Linked DNA regions of Drosophila melanogaster. The protein of the gene in region 3 interacts with the protein of the main gene of each other region in a biochemical or structural test. Each region holds a gene or a part of one and is shown on either strand. Other genes may lie near its edges. The genes, in order: rho-4, rasp and spi.

Region 1 (10,471 bases), on a different chromosome or scaffold from region 3:
GAATCATCTGAGCATCGATCCGCTATGGCGGCGATCTTCACTCTTCGCACTCACTCAACAGGGGGATTCTATCTACGAATCCATCAGTTTCGGCCGCTTCGATTCTAGTTTAGTTAGCACTCTCTTCTGGTTGATTTGGGCAGATTCATATATATATATGTATATAGGTATGTATGATCATACGATTAGCATACGAGATAAGCTGCCAATCCAATCCAAACACAAGGCGCTGGAAATCGGCATTCCATACACATTCCTACTCTCTTTTGGCTGGAAATCTTATCCGATTTCCCTCGCTTCAAACATCAAAATACTCTGTTTGGGTTTCCCGAGCGTTGATTCATTAATCTAGCCATGATATAACAACCAAAATAATATCAAGCTATAGAATATATTTTTTAAAGAAAAAAAATCAGTCTGCGGGCATCCAGTTCTCAGCGAGAACTTAGCGGCATCCAGCTAATGGAGGAGACAGTAGTGGCTTCGCCACAGCAGCCATGCCTTCGTCGTTCCGTACGTCTAGCGGGTAGGATGCGTTCGCAGAACTATAGAGCCATTCCCAAGGTTATGAATTTGCGGCGCAGCACGCGGCTGGCGGGAATCCGGGAACATGCCACCTCCGTTGTTGTGGAAAACGGGACGCGCCTTCAAAGTGCAGTCCAAAAGAAACGCACGCGAAAAGTGAAACCTGCGCCCAAGGCCTGGATGGCCAATAATACTAAATGTTTACTGGGCCATCTTAACAATGGAAACGTTAAGCAATTGCAGGAGATTCCAGGGATCGGTTCAAAGACCGCCTCTATTTTGGCCGTGCACAGGTCAGTTGACATACGTTCATTTGCGTTTTACCCAATAACCCTTAATCCTTAATCCACATTTTTCAGATCCCGCCTGGGTTGCTTCAAGAATCTAATTGAAGTCAAATCCCTGCCCATTTGGTCGGGAAATAAATGGAAACGATTTTCTCAAATTAACTGTCTTGACACTTGATACAATTACTAATTAAATAGCATTTTAATTCGAATATAGTATAGTGATTGTTATTTATGTGGCATATACTTTGATTTTACAACTATAGTAGGAGTAAAAAAAAAGGAGCCGGATATCCTTAAAGAAACAGTTATATATGTGATTTATTTTTTAAATAGGCTTACCTAGGATATATTATATAATATATTAAATTAACAAAACAAGTTGGCATTTTAAATTAAAGCACAAATTGATTGTTATAAAAGTATTAAACAAAAAAAACTAGTCAAAAAAGAAAAACTTTCAAATAAATGACTTATTAAAAGTGACCAAATAAATAATATTCATTAACTTTTTTTTTCAAATTTAACTCCCTTTCAGCGTTGCCAGATTGGGTTGCATGCGGGATTTGATTATTTTTATTCACAAATTCTGGGTAGAGGGCCACTTGTGCTGCTCCGGCAGCTGGTCACACTGTACAGTCGCGCAGTTTGGTTTCTTTGGTGCGAGAAGACGGTTGGTGTTGTTATTTTTTTTTTAGTTCGCTCCGCTGTTTTTAGGTGCTACGCGCTTTATGGCCCGCTCTTAATCTTATCGCAAATCAAATCAAACCGCGGCCAATGAGCACCGTAATTTCACTTTTTGGCTAACGGTAACGGCACTTCCGCTCTCCGAATTCGATATTCAAACAGTCGCATTCCATCGAAAAGCGAAACAAGAAGTGGCCGTAAAAATGACCGTGAAAACAGTGAATCGCCAGCAGAGCCAAACGCCCACCCAACAACGGCAATTGCATCAGCAGCGGGACGTCGAGAATGGGCTCTATCCCACGATTTCGGACGGAATATGCCACATTATTATCGGATAGAATACAGGAAATGTAGGATTTAGGTAAGGGAATAATAAATTTCTAGTAGTTTTCAAGTCATTTTGGAGAGCACATAGTGGTTAATTCATGTACCATATTAATGCATGGGAAATTGGCGAAAAACAAACACTCAGCCGGCACTTCGCGGCACTCACACCTACACAATCATACGTGCGTGTGAATGAAGTTGCTTGTGCTTGTGGTGGTCTGCCCTGTTGCCGTCTTCTTCTCACCCTCGGTGAAAGTTGAGTTCGATGAATCATCTGAGCATCGATCCGCTATGGCGGCGATCTTCACTCTTCGCACTCACTCAACAGGGGGATTCTATCTACGAATCCATCAGTTTCGGCCGCTTCGATTCTAGTTTAGTTAGCACTCTCTTCTGGTTGATTTGGGCAGATTCATATATATATATGTATATAGGTATGTATGATCATACGATTAGCATACGAGATAAGCTGCCAATCCAATCCAAACACAAGGCGCTGGAAATCGGCATTCCATACACATTCCTACTCTCTTTTGGCTGGAAATCTTATCCGATTTCCCTCGCTTCAAACATCAAAATACTCTGTTTGGGTTTCCCGAGCGTTGATTCATTAATCTAGCCATGATATAACAACCAAAATAATATCAAGCTATAGAATATATTTTTTAAAGAAAAAAAATCAGTCTGCGGGCATCCAGTTCTCAGCGAGAACTTAGCGGCATCCAGCTAATGGAGGAGACAGTAGTGGCTTCGCCACAGCAGCCATGCCTTCGTCGTTCCGTACGTCTAGCGGGTAGGATGCGTTCGCAGAACTATAGAGCCATTCCCAAGGTTATGAATTTGCGGCGCAGCACGCGGCTGGCGGGAATCCGGGAACATGCCACCTCCGTTGTTGTGGAAAACGGGACGCGCCTTCAAAGTGCAGTCCAAAAGAAACGCACGCGAAAAGTGAAACCTGCGCCCAAGGCCTGGATGGCCAATAATACTAAATGTTTACTGGGCCATCTTAACAATGGAAACGTTAAGCAATTGCAGGAGATTCCAGGGATCGGTTCAAAGACCGCCTCTATTTTGGCCTTGCACAGGTCAGTTGACATACGTTCATTTGCGTTTTACCCAATAACCCTTAATCCTTAATCCACATTTTTCAGATCCCGCCTGGGTTGCTTCAAGAATCTAATTGAAGTCAAATCCCTGCCCATTTGGTCGGGAAATAAATGGAAACGATTTTCTCAAATTAACTGTCTTGACACTTGATACAATTACTAATTAAATAGCATTTTAATTCGAATATAGTATAGTGATTGTTATTTATGTGGCATATACTTTGATTTTACAACTATAGTAGGAGTAAAAAAAAAGGAGCCGGATATCCTTAAAGAAACAGTTATATATGTGATTTATTTTTTAAATAGGCTTACCTAGGATATATTATATAATATATTAAATTAACAAAACAAGTTGGCATTTTAAATTAAAGCACAAATTGATTGTTATAAAAGTATTAAACAAAAAAAACTAGTCAAAAAAGAAAAACTTTCAAATAAATGACTTATTAAAAGTGACCAAATAAATAATATTCATTAACTTTTTTTTTCAAATTTAACTCCCTTTCAGCGTTGCCAGATTGGGTTGCATGCGGGATTTGATTATTTTTATTCACAAATTCTGGGTAGAGGGCCACTTGTGCTGCTCCGGCAGCTGGTCACACTGTACAGTCGCGCAGTTTGGTTTCTTTGGTGCGAGAAGACGGTTGGTGTTGTTATTTTTTTTTTAGTTCGCTCCGCTGTTTTTAGGTGCTACGCGCTTTATGGCCCGCTCTTAATCTTATCGCAAATCAAATCAAACCGCGGCCAATGAGCACCGTAATTTCACTTTTTGGCTAACGGTAACGGCACTTCCGCTCTCCGAATTCGATATTCAAACAGTCGCATTCCATCGAAAAGCGAAACAAGAAGTGGCCGTAAAAATGACCGTGAAAACAGTGAATCGCCAGCAGAGCCAAACGCCCACCCAGCAACGGCAATTGCATCAGCAGCGGGACGTCGAGAATGGGCTCTATCCCACGATTTCGGACGGAATATGCCACATTATTATCGGATAGAATACAGGAAATGTAGGATTTAGGTAAGGGAATAATAAATTTCTAGTAGTTTTCAAGTCATTTTGGAGAGCACATAGTGGTTAATTCATGCACCATATTAATGCATGGGAAATTGGCGAAAAACAAACACTCAGCCGGCACTTCGCGGCACTCACACCTACACAATCATACGTGCGTGTGAATGAAGTTGCTTGTGCTTGTGGTGGTCTGCCCTGTTGCCGTCTTCTTCTCACCCTCGGTGAAAGTTGAGTTCAATGAATCATCTGAGCATCGATCCGCTATGGCGGCGATCTTCACTCTTCGCACTCACTCAACAGGGGGATTCTATCTACGAATCCATCAGTTTCGGCCGCTTCGATTCTAGTTTAGTTAGCACTCTCTTCTGGTTGATTTGGGCAGATTCATATATATATATGTATATAGGTATGTATGATCATACGATTAGCATACGAGATAAGCTGCCAATCCAATCCAAACACAAGGCGCTGGAAATCGGCATTCCATACACATTCCTACTCTCTTTTGGCTGGAAATCTTATCCGATTTCCCTCGCTTCAAACATCAAAATACTCTGTTTGGGTTTCCCGAGCGTTGATTCATTAATCTAGCCATGATATAACAACCAAAATAATATCAAGCTATAGAATATATTTTTTAAAGAAAAAAAATCAGTCTGCGGGCATCCAGTTCTCAGCGAGAACTTAGCGGCATCCAGCTAATGGAGGAGACAGTAGTGGCTTCGCCACAGCAGCCATGCCTTCGTCGTTCCGTACGTCTAGCGGGTAGGATGCGTTCGCAGAACTATAGAGCCATTCCCAAGGTTATGAATTTGCGGCGCAGCACGCGGCTGGCGGGAATCCGGGAACATGCCACCTCCGTTGTTGTGGAAAACGGGACGCGCCTTCAAAGTGCAGTCCAAAAGAAACGCACGCGAAAAGTGAAACCTGCGCCCAAGGCCTGGATGGCCAATAATACTAAATGTTTACTGGGCCATCTTAACAATGGAAACGTTAAGCAATTGCAGGAGATTCCAGGGATCGGTTCAAAGACCGCCTCTATTTTGGCCGTGCACAGGTCAGTTGACATACGTTCATTTGCGTTTTACCCAATAACCCTTAATCCTTAATCCACATTTTTCAGATCCCGCCTGGGTTGCTTCAAGAATCTAATTGAAGTCAAATCCCTGCCCATTTGGTCGGGAAATAAATGGAAACGATTTTCTCAAATTAACTGTCTTGACACTTGATACAATTACTAATTAAATAGCATTTTAATTCGAATATAGTATAGTGATTGTTATTTATGTGGCATATACTTTGATTTTACAACTATAGTAGGAGTAAAAAAAAAGGAGCCGGATATCCTTAAAGAAACAGTTATATATGTGATTTATTTTTTAAATAGGCTTACCTAGGATATATTATATAATATATTAAATTAACAAAACAAGTTGGCATTTTAAATTAAAGCACAAATTGATTGTTATAAAAGTATTAAACAAAAAAAACTAGTCAAAAAAGAAAAACTTTCAAATAAATGACTTATTAAAAGTGACCAAATAAATAATATTCATTAACTTTTTTTTTCAAATTTAACTCCCTTTCAGCGTTGCCAGATTGGGTTGCATGCGGGATTTGATTATTTTTATGCACAAATTCTGGGTAGAGAGCCACTTGTGCTGCTCCGGCAGCTGGTCACACTGTACAGTCGCGCAGTTTGGTTTCTTTGGTGCGAGAAGACGGTTGGTGTTGTTATTTTTTTTTTTAGTTCGCTCCGCTGTTTTTAGGTGCTACGCGCTTTATGGCCCGCTCTTAATCTTATCGCAAATCAAATCAAACCGCGGCCAATGAGCACCGTAATTTCACTTTTTGGCTAACGGTAACGGCACTTCCGCTCTCCGAATTCGATATTCAAACAGTCGCATTCCATCGAAAAGCGAAACAAGAAGTGGCCGCAAAAATGCCCGTGAAAACAGTGAATCGCCAGCAGAGCCAAACGCCCGCCCAACAACTGCAATTGCAGCAGCAGCGGGACGTCGAGAATGGGCTCTATCCCACGATTCCGGCCGAGCGACGATCGCCCCCCTCGCGTCCGCAAACGCTGCGACAGGACACCATCGATATGGAGGAAATACCGCTCAATCAGACGAACAGCCAGGAGCCAGAGGATCGGCGCAAAATGCACGAGATATTTGACAAGGTATGTAGGACTTATAATACTCGCAATTCCCTTCCCCAGCACAAGTGGCAGCTCCTCCTAAGTATTAGATCTTTTCTGGTTTGTAGAGCCAGCTAACCAAGTAGTAGCCATGGTAACTATACCTATAAAGGTATTACTGTTCACACGGTGTTACAACTTAGCACTATATCTTTAAAGTAAATCTATGATGATTTAACGTTGATTTAATAGTTATGCCACATTATTATCGGATAGAATACAGGAAATGTAGGATTTAGGTAAGGGAATAATAAATTTCTATTAGTTTTCAAGTCATTTTGGAGAGCACATAGTGGTTAATTCATTAGTTAGAACCAGCTACGACTAATTATCCCATTTAAACTGGCTGGTGGTAGGCAACAGAAGGTTAATGCTGAGATCTTGTGAAATTGCACCATATTAATGCATGGGAAATTCGCGAAAAACAGAAGAACGACTGTAATTAAAACACACAGCCGGCACTTCGCGGCACTCACACACACACACTCATACGTGCGTGTGAATGAAGTTGCTTGTGCTTGTGTGGTCGGCCCTGTTGCCGTCTTCTTCTCACCCTCGGTGAAAGTTGAGTTCGATGAATCATCTGAGCATCGATCCGCTATGGCGGCGCTCTTCACTCTTCGCACTCTCCCAAGAAAACCCCACCTTTAACCCTTCAATGGGCCGGCGGGCGAAAACCGACACGATCAGATGCTTTTGTTTGCAAACATGCCAGTGGAACAAACTTAAGGTATACATTATTAAAAAAAAACCTTGTATCTTGTGGTGATTAATAAATACGTGAGATTTGATTCCCGTTTAACATTAATGGGTTAAGAATTCGATTATAGTGCCTAAATAATCAACTGCTATATGTACTTATATCATACAAGCATAATTACACTTTTCGGTGTATTTAACCCATCACCGCTTGTCTGTCAGTCAATTTTGCACTTTCGCAGAATTCCGTATCACATTTTATAAGCTTTTTTTCGCTGCAGTTTGTTTTCTTAAAGTAGAAAAATCGTGTGTGCTGCAAAAAAAAATGGGGGGGAGGGTGGTTGCCTACTGTTGGGGGACTGAGTTTTCTTATCGTGACAGAGGGTTGGGGGAAAAAGACCAGCAAAAAAAGAAGAAGAAAAACCGGTTATAAATTATTGTTTGTTCGCTTTGAGTTCTGCCTTTGTTGTTGTTGTTGCTCTTGCTTTATTCTTGGTGGCGTTAGTCACTTAACCCCCAACTGACACCCACCGCCCACCTGTTTGCCCGAGTGTTACCATTATCAATTTAACAATTTGTGGATTTCGTCTTTTTTAATTCTACCAGTGCGATTGCCTCAACGTGCAACGTCCTCTTGATTCACCATTTGTTTATAGCCATATAGAGTGTGTAGCGTTCATATCGCGTTCAATGTACCCCGGCAACAAGGGGATTCTATCTACGAATCCATCAGTTTTGGCCGCTTCGATTCCAGTTTAGTTAGCACTCTCTCCTGGTTGATTTGGACAGATACGTATATATGTATGTATATAGGTATTCTAACCATACGATTAGCATACAAGATGAGCTGCCAATCCAATCCAAACACATTCGATGCCGCTGGAAATCGGCATTCCAGACACATTCCTATTCTCTTTTGGCTGGAAATCTTATCTGAATTCCCTCGCTACAAACATTCAAGTGGCCAAAATACTCTGCTTGGGTTTTCCGAGCGTTGATTCAATAATCTAGCCATGATATAACAACCAAAATAATAGCAAGCTATAGAACATATTTTGTCAAAAAAAAAAAAATCACCAATCTCAACCAACATTATTCGTTGGAAAGTTCAACTTGAACCCGGAGGGGACTGTATCATTTTGATATTTTTGAAATATCATGTTTGATATGTCACAGATAACAGTCTTTCTGATATGGGAAAATAGCAGATAGATGACCATTTTCGTTGATATTTTTATTCATTGAGCTGTGCAAAAGAGTAAATCTTAAGTTGTCTGTTGGCTAATATAGGAAAGTTTTGGAACTTCAGGTGTTCCAATGGTTTTACAATTAACTTTTTCCGAAAACCATATTTTTTACAAACTGACCAAGTGGCTTTCGTGTGTTCCGAACACACTTGACGACTATGACTAAGTCCCAATCCCCGCGAGACTCCGTTACCGCTGGCAGCTTATCGCCTGGTTTTGATAATAACCAACTTTTTGGTTTTGTTTTTTCCCCCTGTTCTGTTTTATTTTAAGAACACCTAAAGGTGTAAAATATTAGTTTACGACTGGAAAGGAGGATACATATTTATGTGCATGTACATACATGGGCACCTATCTAATTGTCTATAGTATATGCCAATGTCTTTCCTCTTTTTTTTTGCGTGAATCTAACTTTTAAGTGCGAGCGTTGACTTTTCGCTGGGTTTTCTTTGTTATCCCAGTTCCTAGTTATTTACTTTACTAAATACCTTAACCATACTTAAAAGGTCAGTGCGCATAGCTTACCTATGACAAATGTTTTTTATGATCGAAAACCGAGAATACAAAGCGATAAGACAGTAACATCCATATAGGGACTTTCTATTGGCGAAATGGCAATTGAGAATTTCGAACTTCTGAAAGGAATAGGTGACAAATGTTTTTTTTTTAGCAAAATCCTTTTGTATTTACCAATGGGGATTATTGACGTTTTGCAAAAACCATCAGTTGCGTTTAGTTCACAATAACTTTGGATGCCTTTGTGCAACTTCATGTGACTTTGTTTCGATTTGTTTTCGATTAGCCCCGTTTTGGATTTCTAGTTTCTCGTCTCGATCTGTGGCATTTATTCCTGCCCATTTATGGCCACTTTTTGGTCCGACAGCGTTCGCGGCTGTGTTGCAAGTGCTGATGGTGATGCAATCAAAAAGGAGGAAAATCACTCAACAAACATAATAATATGTGGGTACTTGTTTATTTGTGAACTCATGCTGCAGGTTTGAGTGTGTTACGCTATGATTTAGAATAGTTCCTCGGGTGAATGAGATTCATTCGGAGTCTAAGGGAAGGTCAAAGAAAGTGGAATTTTGGCTCTTGGGGGCGAGGCAACTGGTGGCCTGCTCCTCCTCTGGCGCATCCACAGCATCGTGCCAATCCTGGGAATCGTGCTCCTCCTGCTCCTTCTGATCCGTTAGCTGGAGCAGACGCATCCGCAAGCGCTGCTCTTCCAGTTGAATGACTGAAGGCCTAGGAGCAGCCACTTCGCGAATAAGCGATGGCATGGCGGTCGTCCAGTTTGGCAGCAGAGTTAACCCCGTTGCCCTGCCCTGCCGCTCCAGACGCTGCAACTGGCGGCGCTCCATGGCCATCAGTTCCCGCTTGGCCCGGGCCCGCACCTGGTCGTCGCTGGTCGTGGTGCAGAGACTCAGGGCCGCAAAGATGCCGGCCATGCCCAGGTAGAGAACCAGTACGGTCACAATGCCGGACGATTCCTGCAGCGGCTCCTCCTCCTCCGCGACGTCGCATGTGGGCGTCGGTGTCCAGCCAAGCCAAGAGGTCACGTGGCGGGTCATCTCCATCAGTTGCGACATCGTTCTCGGTTGAATCTTGAGGCGAAGATACAAATATATATAATATATGTATGGTTTATACTAAATAATTATGTCATTAACCGATGACACCAAGCAAATGGTAGTTTCTTTACTTCCTTCTAGGGAAATGTATTCAGTAGTTTATTTTTATTACAGCCTAGTTTTAAAAGGTAGGATGAATGCGCTGATATGTACCCAATTGTAATCGGTGTTTCCAAGATGTTGTATTTCAAGATTTTTTGGATTCGGTGCGGGCCTGCCCGACCACTCGGAATTTCAGCTAGGTACTGAGTGTTCGAATCCCTAATGTTTTCGAACCCCCATGACGCTTTAGTATATGGCCTACTGTGTTTAAATGTTGACTTACCCAGATTCTATGTGTGAGCTTAATCATGATGACTAACCAACCATATGTATATGCCTCTCACACAGCACGACTCTGACAGAGATGGGCTGATCAACACGCACGAGCTGAAGGAACTGATCTCGGATGGCTATTGCCGGGACATTCCCGCCTACATCGCCGACCAGATCCTGAAGCGCAGCGATCAGGATAACGACGGCCACCTGGACTTCGAGGAATTCTATGCGATGTCCCTGCGCCACAAGTGGATGGTGCGCAACATGCTGACCCGCTACTGTCGCTACGTTGTGCCGCCACCGAAGCCCTTAGAGGGCGATGAGCCCGACGGTGCCTACGAGAAGCAAATGTCCATCTGCCCGCCGCCGCTCACCATGGTGCTCTTCTCGATTATCGAGATAATCATGTTCCTCGTGGACGTCATACAT
Region 2 (10,471 bases), on a different chromosome or scaffold from region 3:
AGTTTGCCGGCCGGAGGAAACTCGCACCCAGCGATCGGGGTGATGAGCCTGTTCGATCCTCGATACATGGATTCGCCCGGCAATGTGCACTCGATGACGCGGCAGCGTTACATCGAAGCCACCGGCGGCGGAGCAGGTGCGGGAACGGGCGCAGGCACCGGCACCATCAACGTTAATCCGACCACCGCCATGAATCTACAGAGTATTAACTTCAACTCAATATAGAATACGATTTCGAGCCAGGCGGGGACGGCCACTCTGCTCCAGGCAGCCGCCGTAATGGCCGCCAGCGAGCCAGCGGAATCCCTGAGCATATCAGCCATGCCCGTCTCCGTTCCAATGGGCATGGCGCACAGTTTCCTCATCAACAACTTCGTAACGGTGGCTGCACCGCCGGTGGCCACGGTGACCAGCACGGGCCTGCAGTACTTGGACAAGTCGTAGGTCCGGACACCGAGCCCCCAAATTGATCGATACAGGTATTAGAGAAACGGCAGCAATCTACTGTATATATAGCGGACCGCTTGTACGGCACAGTGGCAATATATGCAGCGATATATGCCGACCCAGGATGGCACAGAAGTGGAATCGGATTCCTGCGCTGAGCTGAGCTGAGCTAAGCGAAGCAGGAGGATCGCAAGGAAGTGAGGCGGAAGTGAACGGCGAGGAGCGAAGCGAGTTAAGAGAGCAGGCAAGCCGGCCGCACTTGTAATAATACTTTCATAGAACCTAATTCCTTGAGCTAAACGTTTTGAACCCTACATTTTTACGATTGTTAACTAAGAAATCGGTAGTGCAGATCTTCGATATACATACATATATATATATATATATAGCTATATAGCTATATTACGTGTAAAAGAATAATGTAATTGTACATAAATTATAAAATTTTATTAGTGTTAATCGCGAACATCAAATGATTTGTAAGCAACTGCAGCTAAAAAGTGGTGCTGTGTGCCAGCAGCCGACACAAACCTTGCGGAATCCGCTCCATATTCCACTTTTTGTAATGCAAGCAAGCAATGGACTAAACCAAAAATTCTATCTGTAATCGTAATGATAAACATTAAGGACAAAATGAGATTTATTGGCAATTTCTGGCGAAAATTTCCCACATCCTGCGGTTTGCTAGGCTCTGGCGCATCAGAAATAAGTTTTCTTCCTCGTTTCGAAAAGAATTTAATTTCTGCACTTGTGTTACAATAGCAAATACCAGTATGTAGGAACTCCCCGTGAGCATTATATTTAGCTTCCTATCAATGTGAGACCATTTTCTGTGTACAGTGACGCAAGTCCACTCTATTCGAAGCATAAGGTAATCGTTGGCGACTCCCGACTCCATGCCGCAGAATGTCAAGAGCAGGGAGATCCGAGGATCGCTGGACCGCGTACAATAGACTAAGATACTAGATCGACGGAGGAGGAGGAGCATGTAAGCGAACCGGATATGTATGATAAATATGTACCAACCAATATATATGTATATATATTTATATTTGTGAATGTATCCACACATTTTTTCATTTCCTTCTGAGTTACTCAAGGTGTCAATTCCTGTTTTTATGGCTGCGCTGGCACCTGGTCCTACGGTGATCGACTCTAGGTTATATATTTTCAAATCCGACAACATATCTGAGAATGGGGCGTTTTCCAGGGGGACTCGTTTACTTCTGCACTTATTTGTACATAGGCAATGTACATATAGCGAAGCGACGAGATCGGTGACGGACTACAAGATACAGATACGCAAACAAACGAAACTTAAAGATAACTCGTAACCACCCAAAATCCTAAACGGAGACTGCAGCTAAAGGCAAATAGGAAACCAAAACAGAAACGAACACGGAAGGCGGAGATACGAACGATTCCGGTTTTGAATAACGATTACGTATAGTGTGTTTTTTTAAACGATTCATATGAATATTGTACTAATAGAGAACTTTTTATATTGTGTCAAGGCATACTAAGAACTAAGCGTGATTTGTTAGAAGTCATAGAGTAACGTAAACTTTGATAATGGACTTTTATTACTGTACACTCGCCCACACGCATCATATACCACGAAGGATCCCTACGATCCCAAGCCAACCCGATCCGATCCGATCCCAGACCACAGAACCACTGAAAAATACGAAACAACCAAACAGAATAGATCAGAACAGAACACGGATGAAACAATGCGAAAATAGCCGAAACAATAAGCAAATATTACTAACTCTGTTTCCTACAATTGCAAAGTACCAATAACTACGCTAGTTATGTGTGTGTTAAATATATATATAAATTATTTAAATCAGCGTAAGTGCATAAAGAACCGATTGTATTATAAGTTGCATGTACCATACCAAGTAATGCGCGCCACAAACGAATCCAATATCGCGATGGAACGAACATTCTAGACTGTAGTCGATGTGCAAGAAACGAATAAACTTTCAAAACTACAACATACTCCACCTGCTCCCCTGGCTTCATTTCACTTTTCCCATTCAGAAGGACACGGTTGCGAATAGTTTCAATTGAAATGATTTGGAAATGATGGACCCAACATATTCGCAATATTCATATTTCATAATGAATCTTGGGCAACCGTATCCACGCTTTTTAGGCCGGTTCAAAAACTAATCCTTTGACACTATTTTCTTACAGAACCCAGTCCGGCGCATGCTCCTCATCCGCCACATCCTCCGCTGGGGGCTGCGAGCAGCAGCAGCGGTGGCAGCGGAAGCTTCGAGCGCTCCTTCAGCATCGGAGGCGTCGGATCCGTCGAATGTGATCCAGATGGTACGCCCAGTTCGCCAGCGGTGATGGGCACCAAGCGCAACCGGGTGCTCACCCGTCAGCCGAGGGTGAAGCGGGACAGTGACAGCATCTCGTCCACGAATCAGATATCCCCGGATACGGCTGCCACGACGCTCGACTTTGATCCATTCAATGCTGCGGGCGCCACGAGTGCCACGGCCAGAGATTACTCTACGACGGGCTCGCATCATCTGCACCATCAGTCAGCTGTGCACCACCATCATCACCTGCTAACCGTTCCACCGCGGATCGAGCGCCATGCCTCTGAACCGGCACCCAGTTTGGCCCCCTCCACGCCGCACCTGCTCAGCGTGCCGTCCAGCACTCCCTATCTCATCAAGCAGCACTCGGATCCGTTGCTGCCTCGCCAGTCCGCACTGCACATGGCCGGATCCGGTTCTGGATCCAGTTCCGCGATGGCAACTGGCAGCAATCCGTTTGCCCCGCTGCACCGCCAATACTCGCATCCGTTGTCGGGTTCAAATGCCAGCTATGTCACTCCGGCGCCGCTTCACCATCCGCACCACATCTCACTGCCCGAGTCCATCTACGCCTCGGGGTCTCCGCCGCCGGCCGGCTCCTCGCAATACCTGGTGCCCACGCGCGTAGTGGCCTGTCCAGTGGTTTCTAGTGAAACGGCGGCAACGCCCACTAATGCCAGTCCCGGCTCCTCGTCGACAGTGTCGGCGGCCGTGTCTGTGGTTACCTCACCCAATGCGGGGCTACAGAACAGCGCCAGTAGGCATCCGTTGTCGCCCACTTTCTCCATTGGATCTGATGTGGCACACGAGCGAAGGTCTCCGCACTCTCCCTCCATCAGCAGATCGCAAGTCGTGGAGCGGGCGGGGAAGAATCCAGCAGAGGCCGCCAACGGAGGCGGTTCGAGGCTGCGGACTTCCAAGTCTGCCTCGGGCTCCATCACTGGCACCCATCTGCATCCCGGCCAGGCCACCATGAGCAGTTCGTTTGAGCATTTGCCCACGCTGCGTGTCAAGAACGAGGAACTGCAGCGATCGGTGTCTTCACCTCAGGTGAGTTGGATGTGTACCCGACCGAAAGATCACTCACACTGACTTACCTTTGTTGCAGACCCAACGGGAGATCATCACTCTCGAGAATCCGCGTTCTAGTCATTGTCCGGTCATTCGACCGGGTCCGGCGCTGGGCTGCAACTTCTGTTGGAACACCATCGACGGGCATGGACGCATTTTGCGCCGCAAAACGAAATACCATTGCCCGGAGTGCCAGACGAATTTGTGCATTGTGCCCTGTTTCCAGGAGTATCACGAGCGGCTGAACAACGAGGCGGCCGCTGCATCCAGTGGAGCGGCAGCGGGCGATAATCAGCTGAGCAGCAGCACGACGGGATCGGGGAGCAGCAGCAGTGGCAAGGCATCGCCGTACGTCTCCTCTGCCGGCAGTAGCAGCAGTGGAGCGGGTGCAGCTCGTCATTATACCAAGACGGAATCGATATAATCTGGAGCTGCCGTGACCAAGCCCGCATATTTGTATTTGTGACAGGACGGCCGCCGAAAGGTTGACCTCCATCAGACTAGAAGCCACGCATTGCTCGTCCTTCATTCTGGAACATGGTCCACACATGGCCGTCTGTCGAATTTGTTTTTTTGTCAGCAGGAAGCGCGAAAAACGCGCGCTCACGAACTGCACCCAAATTTTCATTTGTTGTCCCAGTCCCACTGTGCATCCGGCCCGGAGTCCGGGCACATGGACTGCGAGAGAGGGCGCCAGGTGGCGCCAGAGAATTGTTTTTTGAGCCGTGCCCAGATGCACGCTGCCATTGTAAAGTAACGAAAATCTTTTGGAACACCGTCGGAATGCGGGGTGAAAACTTTTTTAAATCGCTAAATGTAATAATATGTTTATGTGTGTGTATCTATGTACTATATGTGTATGTTCTTGTACAAAAAAAAAACCGAACTAAAATCTAACAAAAATAAAACGTTGACGACGGTGCAGCTCGAAGCTCGAATTACGATAAGGTTTTCACCAAGTACAACTATCACTACCACTACCCCAATCCGCTCCGGCCTAAACTTAAGTACGTCCTTGCACCTGTACTTTCGCCGGGCACCGCTGCGCAGGCGCACGAATTGTCTAGTGGCCCACACTTGTTTTACTTAACGTTTTATATCTATGTATGTATGTACGTATATGCACATGGCCCTCGAGGAGGTTTTCGGATGTGCTAGATCCGGCGAATTCGTTTAATTCTCAGTGTAAACTACCATGTATGTAAACAATACGGAAATCAATAAATACTTGTGACCCTCTGGTTTGATACGAATTGCGTTTTCATGTGGAAGTAGTTTAGGAACGAGCCAAGAAAGCTAAATAGCTAAGTAGACCGTCGTTTCCATTATGTTTAAACATCTCATAGTGATCACGTTTTATTGATCTAATTACCATTTAACAAACCGACTTCGGATTACTTCTTGGCTGGAGCCTGTGGCGGAACTACCTCGGCGGGGGGATTAGCGTTGCGGAAGTTGGGGAACTGTTCCCAAGGCGCCGACAAGTCAAACTTCCTGAACTCCTGGGCCAACTCCAAGGGCTCGCAGACGACTCGCTTCTTCTCATCATCGTAGCGCAGCTCTACGTAGCCGGACAGCGGGAAGTCGCGGCGCTGGGGATGTCCCTCAAAACCGTAATCGGTCAGGATGCGGCGCAAGTCGGGATGGTTGGCAAAGAACACGCCGTACATGTCCCAGATCTCACGTTCGTACCAGTTGGCCGCCTTATGCACCTCGCAGGCGGAGTCCAGAGGAGTCAGCTCATCGGTGTAGGTCTTAACGCGGATGCGCGAATTGTAGCGCAGCGAGAGCAAATTGTAGACCACCTCGAATCGGTTCTTGCGACAGGGCACATCCACGCCGGCAATGTCAACCAGGTTGGTAAACTGCGCCTGATGATGATCCTTAAGGAACTGCAGCACGGGCACCACGCCCTCTGGCGCAATAAGCACCTCCAGCTCATCGCCGGCGGTCAGCTGCACCTTCTGCACGTACTTGGGCAGGCACTCGGCCACATAGCGCCCGAAATCGGAGAGATGCGAGCGAGCGACTGCGTCCGGCTGGCGGACAGTGGCTGTGGGTGGAATGTCTTACATGTAATTGACACCGCGATAAAGTCGACTTTTACCTACGCTTATCCGCCTTCTTAGGCTCCACTGGCGTTGTACTGGCCATCCGAAGAGCAGTGGATCCAGCAGCGGGCACCACTGATTGTTGAAGGGTTAGAATAGATCAGTTGAAGCTCTAGAGGCAAGGCATTTACCAACCATGTTTGGCCGACAGAGCGGCGACTGCGGCACGGGCACCCAGATTCCTGATTAAGGCCGCCATTCTACAAACTGTTCAATATAAATTCAACAATTTGCTCCGTTTTTGACAATTTATGTAATGCTAAAATGTCAATATAGTTGTTGGAGCCTAGGGTTGTCAGTGCGCCAAATTAATCTACTCGACAGCCCTACTTCGGTATTTTGACAATTTCGGTACAACACAAATACCGCACATACATTATTGTATTTCGTGTACGTTAACACCGAATTATTCTTCATTAAAAACCTCAACATTTTTTTGGAATATTTGCTTAAATGATTTATATAAAAAATAAATATACCCTACTACTTGATTTATTATTTAATTAAAAATACCAACACGTTCCTTGAAGTACAGCAGATGGAAAACATTTACAATTATTCTTCATTACCAACCACAAAACTTTTCTAGAATATTTGGTTAAATGATTTTTAAAAAAAAGAAATGTACCCTACTACTTCATTTATTATTTCATTAAAAATACCAACACGTTCCTTGAAGTACATCTCATGGAAAACATACCGAAATACCGAGATCTTAGGTGCATTCGACTACCCTGGCTGAAAACTGTGACAACGCGTTGCGTTTGGAATTGCGAGAATTGAAAACTTCTTGGAAATCAATTGGAAATCAAAACACAACAAGATGGTAAGTGAAACGCGTCCTCCCAAATCCCCGGGATAAGTGAAATTTAAATCTACAATCGTCGCCGTTTGCAGAATCATCTTAAGTGGATGGGCCACTCATCCACGATAATGGACATCCAGCGCTCGCTGCGTAATGATAATCAGCACTGCGAGGTGGTGCTGGCCTCCAGGGACGGCGTTCGAGTGCGCGCCCATCTATTCGTGCTAAGCACTTGCAGCGAACTGATGCGCAACCTCCTGGTGGACGTTCCGCGCGGCCAGGAGGCAACCATAATGCTGCCCGACATCCGCGGAGATTTGCTGGAGTGCATGCTGTCCTTCATTTACATGGGCGAGACTAGCCTGCCCTCCGCGTCGCTCCCCGAGTTCCTGGAGGCCATTAACCTCCTCGGCATCAAATCTGCCATCAGCTTTGAGTGCAATCCATCGGCTAGTCCACCCAGTGTCGATGTAGAGAACCATTCGTTAGCCGTGGAGTCGGCCAAGTCCATTACAGGACTCCAAATCGCTGAGGCCGAGCTGCTGGACGACGAGGAAGAGCCACATCCGATGGTCTCCGTCCCAGCCACTACACTCGCGGGTTCTCAACACCAGCCCAGCCATTCCAGTCGGTCATTGGAGTACATTGATGTCTACGAGCCGCCGAAGATCACCTACTCCATCGAGCACATGGACGGAAGTTCCAGCGGCAACCAATTTATACTCACCGAGAACACGGGCACTTTCACCATAACGCAGTCAGCATCGAGTTTGTCCAAAATTGAGGCAGATGAAACGGGTACCAGTGGCGCTGAAGTGGACCTGGGCGATGATGACGTGGATGCGGACCTTGCTGAGGATTCTGAGGAGCACGAATCACAAATGATCGACGAGGAGTTCGCGCAAGCCGATCCTCTTATGGAACTAGAAGCTGGTACTGAAATGGACGACGATGACGACGTGCACGACCAACTTGTGGACGAGGAAATAGACGATAAGCCCCGCAAGTTGGGCGGGGGAAAGACGCGAATCCGTCGCCCCATAAGTGCGAAGGCTGTCAAACGATTGTCCGATTGCAAGCCAACGCGAATCCAGCAGTTCGCAGCTCTGAAACGTGAGGTAAAAGACGATATCAACGATGCTTTGGATCTGGCGGCCGACGCGGTTATCATCGAGGGCTTAAGCCTACAAAAGGCCGCCGACCGGTTTGATATCTCCAAGACAGTCCTCTGGAGACGCGTGCGCACTAATCCCGCCTACATGCGAAACAATCGGGAACGACCATCCCTGCAAGAGGCCTACGAGCGACTGAAGAATGGACATTCTTTAAAGAGCATCAGCAGTGAGTTGCAAATCCCCATGTCCACGTTGCACAGACACAAGGTTCGTCTGTCCGCCCAGGGACGCCTGCCCAACTTCGTGTCCTGCCGAAAGCGCGACAATACGCCCAAGGATGAGCTGCGCGACAAATTAGCCAAGGCGGTGCATGCCTGCCTGAATGAGGGAATGTCCCAAAACCACGCGGCCAACCTCTTCGAGATCCCCAAGAGCACGCTCTGGAGACACCTGCAGCGACGCACGACGAGCCAGAATAAAAAGGTCAAGAAGGAATTGAAGGCCAATTACGGAGACGATATGCTAAACTAGAAATAAGCCTTCGGAGTTCTGGTTTTACAAACGTTCAGCTGGAATCAATAAGTTACCATTAAGAAGCCATAAGCATAGGGTTTAACTTCATGTTGTCCCATCAGTGTATGTACATCAACCATATCCTATCTCCTGATGAAACCAAAATTGAGTCCGGAAGAGCAGCAAGAGATGCTATTCTAGAGGTAGTTTTGTAGACTTAGTTCTATATGTAGATACCATTACCATTTTAACTGCTGCTCTTTTATTGTTCACTCCATCGTAATTGGTTAATTAAATACAACCAAAAATTAACAAAAACTTCTTTTTAAATGGGTCAAATTTATAACATGAGAGAAATATGTACATGCATGTAATTAAAATGCCGGTACTCTTCTCCAGCAAGGGTATAAAAATATCGATATTTTCGCTGGTTTTTCACATCCCTATCGCAATCTTTTCCCGGAATGAAGAGTCCAAATCGGTGGTGTAGTGATGTCAAGGTTACCAGACCGATCCCTGCTCACCCGCTGCGAAATTTTCGTCTACTTCGGGGTCTATATAGCGTATATAGTTGTGGGCCTGTACAAGATCTATGGGCTGCGGGATCACATAGTCAAGGAGGCAAAGTTCCAGTTTCCGGAGGGCTGGAGTTTGTATCCTTTTTCCCAGCGGCGTCGGGATGACAGCAACGATGAGCTGGAGAACTTTGGAGACTTTATCGTCAGCTTTTGGCCCTTTTACTTGCTGCACGTGGCTGTCCAAGGATTCATACGCTGGAAACGTCCCCGCCTTCAGTGTCTGGGATTCATCGGCGTCTGTGCCTTGGCTCTTAGTGTAAACCTGGACTGGTCATCGATGGTACTACTAGTCACATTGATAGCCAGCTACTACATCGTTTCCCTGCTCTCACTAAAATTTCTCGTGTGGCTTTTGTCCGCTGGCTGGATACTGTGCATCAATGTGATGCAAAAGAATGTCTGGTGGACAGATCGCGTTGGTTACACGGAATACGTCCTGGTGATTGTCACAATGTCCTGGAGTGTGCTTCGCGGATGCAGTTATTCCCTGTCCAAGATTGGAGCTAAGCAGGAGGATCTTACGAGATACAGCCTCGTCCAGTATCTGGGCTACGCCATGTACTTTCCCTGTCTGACCTATGGGCCGATCATTAGCTACCAGAGGTTCGCAGCCCGGAGGGAGGATGAAGTGCAAAACTGGCTGGGATTCGTCGGAGGAGTCCTGCGCAGCGCCATATGGTGGTTGGTGATGCAGTGCGCCCTCCACTATTTCTATATACACTACATGTCGCGGGATGTGCGAATGGTGGAGATGATGGACTCGGTGTTTTGGCAGCACTCCGCCGGCTATTTCATGGGCCAGTTCTTTTTCCTGTACTACGTGGTGACATACGGCTTGGGAATAGCTTTTGCTGTGCAGGATGGCATCCCAGCGCCCAATAGACCGCGCTGCATCGGACGCATCCACTTCTACTCGGACATGTGGAAGTACTTCGATGAGGGTCTGTACGAATTCCTTTTCCAGAACATTTACGCAGAGCTGTGCGGCAAGCGATCATCGGCAGCGGCCAAGTTCGGTGCCACCGCATTGACCTTCGCCTTTGTGTTCGTCTGGCATGGATGCTACACCTATGTGCTTATCTGGAGCATTCTGAACTTCCTCTGCCTGGCTGCAGAGAAGGTGTTTAAGACGTTTACCGCGATGCCGGAGTACCAGCGGTGGACACAGCGTCATCTGGGAGCCGTGGGTGCTCAGCGCTTGTACGCAATGCTGGCCACCCAGCTCTTCATTCCGGCCGCCTTCTCCAATGTCTACTTTATCGGCGGACAGGAGATTGGAGACTTTCTAATGCGTGGCGCCTATCTTAGTGGAGTGGGCAACTATGTGGCACTCTGCTTCTGCAGCTATTGTTTTTTTCAATGCTCTGAGTTGCTCCTGACCAAGTCGGATGGTCGCTCCAAGACCAAAACTTTTTGACCTCGCCAAAAGTCTGTCTAGATTTACGTGAATCTGACTACTTATGAACGAACTTGTATTATAAGACGGCTTTAGAAT
Region 3 (10,471 bases):
AACGTGGGTATAGCCGCAGCTGGGGTATCAGCTTGGGTGGCGTTCTCCCCTCCGGGATCAGGCGCTGGTTCAGGCTGAGCATCTTGGATGACGGCGGGATTCGAAGCTGGAGTATCCTTGGTGGCTGGCCTCGGTTTTTTGCCGAAGGCGAAGCAGCCACTCTGTTTGGTGGCCACCGGCGACAGATTGTCCTTGTTCTTGGTGCTACAAACGGAATTGTAATGGAATCATTTAGAAATTGTCATTATATGTACGATTTTGGTTAACCTACAATGCCTTGAGCGCCTCCAGCTTGGGTATATTTCTGTTGTGCGACCTGCCGCCGCCCGCCGCTTCTTGAGCAGCCAGCTCCTCGGGATGCGACTTCTTCTTGTGCGTGCGGCAGTTGGAGCCGTTGGCAAAGGTGCGGTCGCAAAAATCGCAGGAGTAAGGCTTCAGTCCTGTGTGCAGGATGAGGTGATTCTTCAGCGCCTTGGCGCGCTTAAACTCCCGGCCGCAGTAGTCGCACTTGTGCTGCATCTGATCCGTGTGCACCAGTCGATGGCGATTCAAGGTGGTCCGCGAATTCAGCTGCATTCCGCATTCGGGGCAGATGTACTTGTGCGGATCATGCGTCTCCTTGTGGTGTTTCAGACGATTGGCCGACTTAAAGCACTTCTTGCACACCTCGCACTCGAAGGGGGCGTAGTCCGTGTGCTTGAGGACGTGCTCCTTGAGCGCGCTCATCGAGTGCACACCCACACCGCACTGCTCGCAAATCACCGGCCGCGGCCGCTCATCCAGGTGCATGTACTGCTCGTGCTGCTGGGCGGATGCACTGGTGGCGAACTTCTTGTCGCAACTGCTACAGGCGTACTGCTTGCGCTTGGGCAGGGGCACGTGCCATTTCATGTGCCTCTCCAGCTGGTAGTGTAGACGAAACTTCTTGGGGCAATCCGGGCATTGCAGCTGCTCGGTTGTGGGCTCAGTCTGGCCATGATCCTGGCGCAGGTGGCGCTGCAGGGTTTTGGACGTGGCGTAGCTTCGCAAGCACTCGTTGCACTGGTGTCTTTTCTCAGAGTCTGCTGCATCCTCTCCAGCTTTTTCGGTACTCGGCGAGGAGCCATCCAAGCTGCCAGCAGAAGAGTTATCCTCCTGAATGCCATACACATCGCAGAGGCTCATTAGTACACGATCTTCATTCGGTTCGTAGTCGGCATCCTGCTCATCTGGCTCCTCCGTCGGCTGATCCTGCTCCTGATCTACGCTTTCCTGCTTTTCCTCTGGCGTTAGTGGGTTTGCCAGCTCGTAAGGCGACTCCTCTGGCAGAAACTCGAGCTGTTCATCCAACTTCGGCTTCTTGTCCACATAGTGCACCTCAGTCTGCGTCTCCTCGTCCAGCAAACCAAATTTCGAGCGCAGCTCGTGGAGATTTGGCCTCTCCTGGCTGGGCGTGCTCTGCAGGATGCAGTAAAGCTTCTGCACGCGGGTAATCCGTTCCGAGAAATTCACCAGCGAGGTGACCAGCGACAGGCACTCACTGCATATCGTCTCCGGCAGCTCTTCACCTCGAGTTATCTGATGATGGGGCAAGAGAAATCAAGATAAGCTGGTTAGCTTGTGGAAATCCAAGGAGCCACGAGGAGCGCACTCACATTCACCCAGAAGTACTTGCCAATGGCGGTGGCCAGTTCCATGGAGGCTGCCTCGCCGGAATCCTCGTTCTTGAGGAACACATTCAAGTTGCCTTGCACGTCGTCCTTGGCGCACAGGCGACACCACTGTCGCCAGTCGCTGCTGGGATTTCGATCGACATGGGGAGCCGCCGGAGCAGCGTGCATCTCCACCTGCGCGGCGGCCATCGGGGAGCTCAGCAGTTGGTTATAAATAAACAAATAAATAAATAAAGCGTAAACATATTGGATTGGATGGCTGGATCCGAGCTGGAACTGGATCTCGAACTAGAACTGGAGCCGGAACCAGTGTTGCAGATGCTGCCAGATCAGTCGGATTAAGTGATTTCAATTGGATACCCTTAAATAGAAAAGGATTAACCTACAGCTTTAAGTCAAATTCTAAGATCTATGTTCACTAGCTTCATCATCAGACATCAAATGAACTTAAATCCGCAACCGAAACTAATCTAACAAGCTTTGTTCTTAACTCCGCAGCAGTCCGGCATCTCTACACTTGCAGCGAAACAGCTGACTGGCTTCATTTTGTTTGTTTCCAATTGTGAATTTAACGGGACAGCGATTGTCAATTTTGAAAATTGGAAAAATGCTCGAGGCGCGTTTGAGTCAGACTTTGCTGCTGAAGAAGATCGTCGATGCACTAAAGGAAATCATCGCCCAGGGAACGCTGGACTGCAGTGAAAATGGTCTGGAGGTGAAGAGAATAACCCTCCATCTGTCATTTTGTTTCGAATTCCCATAAAAGCTGTTAAGTAGTTCCATTGAGACTTGGGACTGAAAATGAAAAGTTGAGATAAGAAATAAAGCTTTTACAACTCTATATTCCAGCTGCAATCGATGGACAACTCCCACGTTTCGCTGGTGGCCCTAAGTCTGGCTTCGGATTGTTTTGAAAAGTTTCACTGCGATCGCAATGTCTCGCTGGGCTTGGATCTGAAATCCCTGGGCAAGGTGCTTAAGTGCGCCAATAGCGACGATGCGGTCACCATTAAGGCCGTTGACAGACCGGAGAAGATTACGCTCAGCTTCGAGTCGGATGGCAAGGAGCGCACGGCGGACTACGAGCTGAAGCTCCTCAATCTGGACCAGGATCACATGGAGATTCCGAAAAAGGACTACACCTGCTTCATCCAGTTGCCGTCGTCAGAGTTCGCGCGCATTTGCCGGGACATGAGCATGTTCGACGAGTCCCTGACGATCGCCTGCTCCTCGAAGGGCATCAGGTTCTTGGCCAAGGGAGATCTGGGCACGGCCAACATTCAGCTGAGTGCGGGCACCGCCATGGACGTGAGCATTGAGGTGCAGGAGCCCGTGACCCAGTCCTTCGCCGGTCGCTACCTCAACACCTTCACCAAGGCCACTCCGCTGGCAGATCGCGTCAAGCTCTACCTGTCCGACGAGCGGCCACTCCTGGTGGAGTATCCCATCGAGGATTACGGCCACATTCGATACTACCTTGCACCCAAGGTGAATGACCCCGATTTCTAGCTGAAGAACTACTCAACTCAGTTATTGCATAAATTCGAGCGCAATTTAAAGCATAAGGAAAGGGGATAAACGATATTTTTAGGCAACAAATACCAAAAATCATTTTTTTTAAAGCATAGTATAAAAATATAACTTGTAATAAAAACTATTTAATTGTAATTAAAAAAACATTTTACAAATTCAAATTTATATACGAAAAAACTAATTTTAAACCTTGTTATTAATTATTATTAAGTTTTTAAGGTTATCTTAATGTAGATCTCACATTTTCTATTCAGAATACTTTTGTTTTTTCATGTTGAAGCTACAAAAGAAATTAGTAAGCTATTAATATGATACAAGAACGGTTAAATAGATGCTTATAATTATTGTTTTTTTTTATGTTTTTTTTTACATTCATTAAATTCAAATTAGTTTAAAAATAATTGAAAAACAGATAAAATTAAAATTAAACAAGTAAAAATATTGTATTTTAAACTGACCAGTGATGCCGGACCTTTTGATGGCCAGTGTTGTTAGGCGCAGACTGGTCACCCTAAGTTACTGCACGTATGTGGGAACAGCTGACAACCCTGGCCAAACGCAAATGCGGAGCTAAACAAAAACCGAAAAACTTAAAAACCGGCATAAAATCCCACGCAAGTACAAGTGAACAATGGACACCGAGGAAGTGAAGCGCGGCCGCGGACGAGGGCGTGGCACCAGGGCTCGCGGGCGCGGACGTGGCCGAGGACGCGGTCGTGGCAAGAAAATCGACGACAGCAGCATCGCCGACGCCGCAGCCCTGGCGGCCAGCAGCTGTGCAGCCCTGGAGGACAGTCCGGGAAGACTGGACGCCTCCGAAGATTCGGTCATGCAGGAGCTCGACAAGGACGGCGAACTGGAAACGCCCGGCGCTCTGGAGGAGCCCCTGCCGCACGGTGCGCTAGGAGCGGTCGCCGCCAGCGGGAACATGACTCCAGCGACGCAACAGCCACAGGTCCTGCAGCAAGTGCCACCGCCCGTGATGAGCCAAACAAGTGAGTCTCCTCCCCTATTGAATGGTTGTCCAAGATAGTTAAATTGATTAACATCTTGGCTTGACCAATTCCTTGGTATCCAAACTTGAAGCATTGAACAAAGCTATCTCGCTATCTCTCGCCCGCGCAGTCGACATGGAGGCGGACATATCGCAACTGGAGGCGCCCACTTTCACCACGCTTTCGCGCGGACCGCCGGAGCCGATGCTGCGCCTTAAGTGGAACCACAAGGTGAGCCTGATCGGCGAGAAGGTGCTGAACCCGATGATCCACTGCTGCGATCAGTGCGACAAGCCGATCCTCGTCTACGGCCGCATGATACCCTGCAAGCATGTATTTTGCCTCAAGTGCGCCCGCGCCGAGCCCATCAAGAGTTGTCCCCGCTGCACGGACAAGGTGTTGCGCGTGGAGCAGAGTGGCCTGGGCACCGTGTTCATGTGCACGCACGGCGGCAGTCGCTACGGCAGCTCCGGCTGCCGTAGAACATACCTTTCGCAACGCGACCTGCAGGCGCACATCAATCACAGACATGTGGCGCCGCAGCCGCCACCGTTGCAGCCACAGCCGCAGCTGTCAGCCATGGCGGAGCAGCCAAAAATGACGGATCTGGGCGGCGTCGGTCTGGGCCTGGAGTTGCACAAGCAGCGCAAGGCGAGTGGTAGCTATGGCTCCTAAACTAAGCTGTCCTGTCTATAAAAAAACAACCGCTTGCCCCTTGCAGCTCTCCGAGTCGTCTGTCCCCATATCCGTTTCCGCCTCCATTGCGTCCCGTCCCGTCCTGTCGCGGCTGCCACTGACCGGCGGTGTCGGTAACATCGGTAGTATTGGTAGTATACCGCCACCAGGATCCGCCGCCGCCGCCCAAAACGCCATCCACGGCGGCCACTCGACGCTCACGCTGGCCAATTTGACCAGGATCAACAATGCCAATGCGCAGGAATGTCACCAGGGCAAGGCCTCGCTGCACCACACGCTCAAGAAGGGCACGCCCCACCAGTCCGAGTCGGTGGCGGATGCCTCCTACTACAGCAGCGTGCTCGCCTCCTTTGGCAGTGCGGCCGGGAATCCGGGTTCTGGGCCACCCGGCGGTGGGGCAACAGCAGCAGCACAGCCCGCCAATCCGAGTGGCAGCCATTCCGCTGTTGGCCCAGGTGCCCTGATTGGAGGCTCCACCGACGCGCCAACTGGTGGCTCGAGTGGCAACTGGCAGCAGTCGCAATACTACAGATAGGGGGACGAAAGCGAGGGGCTAGTAACCAGGGTAGACGCTTTAACGCAGGCACGCAGGCTTTTAATTAAGTGAACAAGTGTATGTTAAGCTGAACTGAACACTATTAAAGATATTTTACGGGGTTAGGCCAACCCGAACCAAAAAATAAATGCTACTCCGGTTTTAAAGCTTGGGCTAAACTTAATTCTTAATGTAGTAGTGAAGTGGTTATCGTGGCGAACAAATCAGGATAACAATTTTATGAATACCTTTGCGGTTCTCAAGCTGAACGAAATTCAAAAATCCCGCCCGATTGGCGGCCAATCGATGACGGTACGGTTTCCACTCGAGCTGAATGAAATTCAAAAAGCCCGCTCGATTGGCCGCCTATCGATGACGATACGCTCCAGCTGGTTGCTGTTCCAGCGAAATACAAAAGGTAAACAAATGCGACTTGGAGCACAGACTTCGAATGGAGCATTAGCATAAACACAACAGGCCGCAGTGCCGGAGTCAAGTGGCAGGGCCCAGGGTGAACACAACCACATCCAGTATCTGATGAGCACAGCGTAGAACTTAGGAAATCGAGGCCACAAGCAGAAGCAGCAGGAGAAGCAGCGGTTGTGAAAGAAGTTGGCGAGCAAAAGTGAAAGTTGCGCCAGAAAAATGATGAAAATTGTACTCATCAGCGGCAAGCGAAAGTGCGGCAAGGATTACATATCCGAGAGGCTGCAGCGGAGGTGGGTGCAGTGCATAGCTAGTCGTAGAAATCTTGCCAATTTGTTAAATTTGCACTGCTTGCTGCAGAAATATTCAGACAAATAAAATCCAATTCCATTCCAGATTGGGCTCCCGGTCGTGTATCGTTCGAATCTCAGAGCCCATTAAGTCGGAATGGGCTCGCAAGCTGCAGTTGGACCTGGACGCTCTCCTCGGTGATGGACCCTACAAGGAGAAGTACCGGCGCGACATGATTGTGTGGAGCGACGAGGTGCGGGCCCAGGACTACGGCTACTTCTGCCGCGTGGCCATGGAGGAGGCGCTGAGTCGCCAGCAGACGCCCTACATTCTGGTCAGCGATGTGCGGCGCAAGAACGACATCAGGTGGTTCCGGGAGACTTACGGGCCGGAACGAGTCATCACCTTGCGTCTAACATCCCGTCCAGAAACGCGGTCTGCACGGGGATGGACCTTTACCGCAGGAATAGACGATGTTCCCTCCGAGTGCGATCTGGATGATCTGGCCGACGGCTTCGACGTGGTGTTGGCCAACGACGAGGAACTCGACCAGGAGGCCATCGACATTCTGCTGGATAGGCTGCAGCTGCAGTATCGATAGAGCTTGGACCTCTCGGCTCACCATGCTTTGAACAAATGTATTTTTGATATATCACGTATTCCGGTCACAAATAGCGTAGTTAATGCAATACACTAGACAAGAATGAAGTTACGTACCTAATAGTAAATACTCTTGGTAACGAAATAGAGCTTGTGTGGCGGTTTTACTAACTTGCAACGTTTAAGACTTAATAGATTCAATGGATATACAAACTATATGTCGCTGATTATCGGTAATAGGTTACTTCAGGAATAAATAGCCCGGTTTCCAAATGTTAGAATAATACTCATGAGCAAACTGCATCCATCAATTTATGTGCACAATGTACTGGCAAGCAAACTAATAAAATGATTTATTAAAAGATGAGTAATAAAAGTATGTGTCGTGAGAAAAGACTATGATTTGGTGGGTTTTGATGGACATAAGGCAATAGTAGCTACTAAGCTGTGTTAGTAAACGGGTCCGCTGAATCCCTCTGTGCCAGAGATTATCCGCAGTTGATCGTTGAAGCTCTGCGCGGGCGGAATCTGATTCTTCTTAGAATCCTTTTCCATTGAACGGGATCGCAGATGCGGCTTATTCTTAACGCAACTGAGTGGAGTTCGCTTTTGTGCGGACAGGGGGGTACTGTTTGTCTTGGGCGTAATGGATCCTCCGGTCACCGGGGACCCCTCCTCTTGGTCAACATAGATCTTTGGCTTGTTGGCTCTGGCGGGCTTGCGCGGTGGCACACGACGCTTGTGACCCAAACGCACTCGCTCCAAATGTTTGTTCGACGGCACTTCTGGTAGCTGCTCCTCGCCAGCGACAAAGGAGGCCATGCTGCTGCCAGTGCTGAGATTCAGGGTCAGTGTTTCCAGGATGTGCTCCAGCATCTGGGCCTCGCGTGCCTCCTCCTCCTCGTCGTCGCAGAAGATGATGGGTGTGCGATCGACGCCCAGGCTGGGCGATCGGGGATCACCATGGGGCTGCTGTTCTGGCGGGGGCGTGGCCATTTTCACCTGGCCCTGCTCCAGATTCGGCTCCTGATACGGCAGCAGCTGTTGCTCGCAAGGCAAGGTTTCTTCCTGATCATAGGGCAGTGAAACAATCTCCAGGGAAATATTGTTGTGTGCAGCAGACGGCGGTGTGCCGAAGCTATCGCAGCTCTCCTCTAAATCCACTTGGGGCGGTGATGCAGGCACTGCTCTCTGTGCTGTACCCACCCTGGTGTCCACGAAGAGATCGGCGAATGTGTCATCCATATTAAGCGAACGAACCTCATCGAGGACCAGTGGAGTGCGATTCAGCTGAGGAGAGCGAGGATCGTTCAGGGAGAAGCCCTTGAGCAAACGTTTTCGCAGCATGGAGAAGGCATTTTCACTGGTGGTCACATGCTGCTCCTCCTCCTCAACGCGAGGTTTTGACGCCTGCAAGAACTACAACGCAGCCATCATTACTAGGGTTAGTAATATCAAAAAATACCTAATGCCTATAAACTCACGGTTAAAGGCGTGCGGCAGCCATTTGGTGATCGAGGATCGAGCAAAGCGTTGTTTTGCTCTCGATTCGGCGTCGTCATTTCCATTTGTTCTCGCTTTTCGCTGGCCAGGCGCATTTTGTTTAGTGTCGGCGTATCCGGCAGATATTCACCTTCCATTTTTGTTGCCTTTGCTCCCATTTTAATCAAATAATCTGACTTATTTTGCGACTTCTCACTAAATGTTGCGGGGTAAAATAAAATCGTTGCCGCGCATTTGTTTTGAAATGGCGTCGTGTGGAGTTGCCGGATCAGGAAATGCCAACTGGTAACAGTATTGTTAACGTCAGTCTAGCTATTTTCAAGCCAATTCTAGCAGTGATTACAAATGGATTTTATCACTAGTTCTTTCATTATTACTAATAACTAACTAATCGTTACAAATATAAATAGAAATTAAACAACGTTTGGGATATTTAGAACTTAAGTCTGTAATGTTTAGGTGGATTCTTCTTGTTTTACTCCTCTCAAATAAATTTATGAATTGATTTTTATTTATAGTACATAAGAAAATGTAAAATTCAGTAAACAAATAAACTAATATTAAAGTTATCAGATATTTTTTTTAATTTCGCTTTACAGCACTGATTTTTATGCTGCCTCGCGATAGTGTCATCTCCCTCCAGCTAAAGTCTGGCAACACTTGTTCATTTAAGACGCGACACAACGAATTGTACTCTTTCAGTTTTTCAAAAAGAAAATGGCATGAAAACAGGCCAAAAAAGTGCGACAAACGAAGAGCTAAATCCCAAAGTAAGTGGTAAAGTAAGTGATAAACATCCAAATGAAAGCAACCCAAATGCATACATAAATGCGCGAGTGTGTGTGCTAAATTATAACAGTAGTGACTGTGTACCTTCACGGAAAAAGGGAAATGAAGACAGGAAACTGGGTTTTTTTACTCCAGATGACTATTTTTATTGAATTTACGCAGTTGCTGTACTAAATAGGCGAGTGTTTTTGTGTATGTGTGTGTGGGCGCCGCAAGCAGCAGTAAATTCTCCTGTGTGTATATGTGTTTTTTTTTTCTATGGCCGTCTCCTTTTTACACACACTAGCGCACAATACAGCTGCGCCTTGTTTTTTGCCGACATTTTTTCTGCTTAGTTTTATTTATTTTATTTCAATTAGGCAGACAAATTATTTTGCTCGCTTTGTGGAGCCATCAATGTGGGTTAGTAAGCTAAAGTGCTGCGTAAAATTGCGCTATTGTTTTATTTGCCAATTGTAGCGCAAAAAGTAAGCAAATTGTATACACACAAACGCCAGAGCGCATGTCGTGCAGACTTTCTCTCTTGCTCCAAATTGCGAGTGTATGCATCTGCGTTCGTGTGCGTGTGAGTACTGAAAACAACCGAATTTCATTCATTGCTCATTTCCGAGAAAAACTACACGCTACACTCGTCGCCATCTGCAATTGCACCTCTGTGTGCGTAAGTCACTGTATCACAAGTACATTATATGAACTATGTATATAGGAGCCGCTGCAGTTGTGCAACATGTTAATTGATTCCAGGGGCTGCTGGGCGTGGCAGGTGCAAAAGCCCCTTCCACCTGGCTTCTATTTACAGAAACTTCTTCCCACTTCCAGAGTTCAACATTCTTGCTCTTCCCGTCGCTTGACCGCGTTTTTCAAACATTCCACGAGCGGTCTTAGCACACTCACACCGGCACGCTATGTGTGTATACATACGTATGTACGTATATTGATTTCAATCAACTTTGAAGCGCGCTCTGGCCTTCTCCTTCGCTCATTCGGCGGTGTGCTATGCTCTGCCTGTCTCTCTCGTGCTCATCTGTCAATTGAGCACCACGTCCGTTTGTCGGCTCATCAGCAATTTACACAGACACACACTTCACCGCGCTGCATCCGTGTGGGTAAATTCCATTTCCTGTTTATAATATTGCGGCGTCTTGTCTGTCTGTCTGTCTGGCGTACAGCGGAGACGCAAACCAGCGTCCCTTTCGCCTTTCGTTCCGCTCATCTCGCTGCACAATGGATCGATCCTAAATAAGCATCTTTTAAAAAGTATTCAAAGTTTGTAAATCGTAACGCATAGCAAATATATTGTTATCGTCATAGTTTGTCATGGTTATAGTTTTGTTAGCTTATTTTTGTTATTCTAAACATTTTAAATTAATACTACATCTTTTTGCAAATCGGATATCCGTCTACTTTCGCTCTTATCCCACGTACATATCTCCCACTTACGATCATCCGCG

Evidence for each region.
Region 1: of the proteins of spi (region 3) and rho-4, one has a biochemical effect on the other in vitro, tested with the Drosophila melanogaster proteins (3 studies listed by BioGRID).
Region 2: of the proteins of spi (region 3) and rasp, one has a biochemical effect on the other in vitro, tested with the Drosophila melanogaster proteins (2 studies listed by BioGRID).

Annotation. Positions count from the first base shown.
Region 1 is NC_004354.4:11,594,198-11,604,668, forward strand, and holds the start of rho-4 (rhomboid-4), read left to right. Parts: upstream 1-5,640; 5' UTR 5,641-5,889; coding exon 5,890-6,129; intron 6,130-9,045; exon of another isoform or gene 9,046-9,139; coding exon of another isoform or gene 9,140-9,682; exon of another isoform or gene 9,683-9,697; intron 9,698-9,877; exon of another isoform or gene 9,878-9,997; intron 9,998-10,114; coding exon 10,115-10,471. Other genes in the region: CG2533 (uncharacterized protein), read right to left, coding at 9,140-9,682.
Region 2 is NT_037436.4:3,153,309-3,163,779, forward strand, and holds the start of rasp (rasp), read left to right. Parts: upstream 1-8,871; 5' UTR 8,872-8,890; coding exon 8,891-10,393; 3' UTR 10,394-10,471. Other genes in the region: BtbVII (BTB-protein-VII), read left to right, coding at 2,650-3,833, 3,892-4,278; ND-30 (NADH dehydrogenase (ubiquinone) 30 kDa subunit), read right to left, coding at 5,249-5,907, 5,966-6,040, 6,101-6,164; CG15812 (uncharacterized protein), read left to right, coding at 6,789-6,791, 6,863-8,416. UniProt on the Drosophila melanogaster protein: Required in hedgehog (hh) expressing cells for production of appropriate signaling activity in embryos and in the imaginal precursors of adult tissues.
Region 3 is NT_033779.5:19,575,716-19,586,186, reverse strand, and holds the start of spi (spitz), read left to right. Parts: upstream 1-8,871; 5' UTR 8,872-9,001; intron 9,002-10,471. Other genes in the region: CG10366 (uncharacterized protein), read right to left, coding at 1-204, 272-1,557, 1,635-1,841; PCNA2 (proliferating cell nuclear antigen 2), read left to right, coding at 2,260-2,367, 2,502-3,161; hakai, read left to right, coding at 3,817-4,180, 4,284-4,831, 4,902-5,411; Pmvk (phosphomevalonate kinase), read left to right, coding at 6,057-6,130, 6,234-6,729; msb1l, read right to left, coding at 7,179-8,147, 8,213-8,389. UniProt on the Drosophila melanogaster protein: Ligand for the EGF receptor (Gurken). Involved in a number of unrelated developmental choices, for example, dorsal-ventral axis formation, glial migration, sensory organ determination, and muscle development. It is required for photoreceptor determination.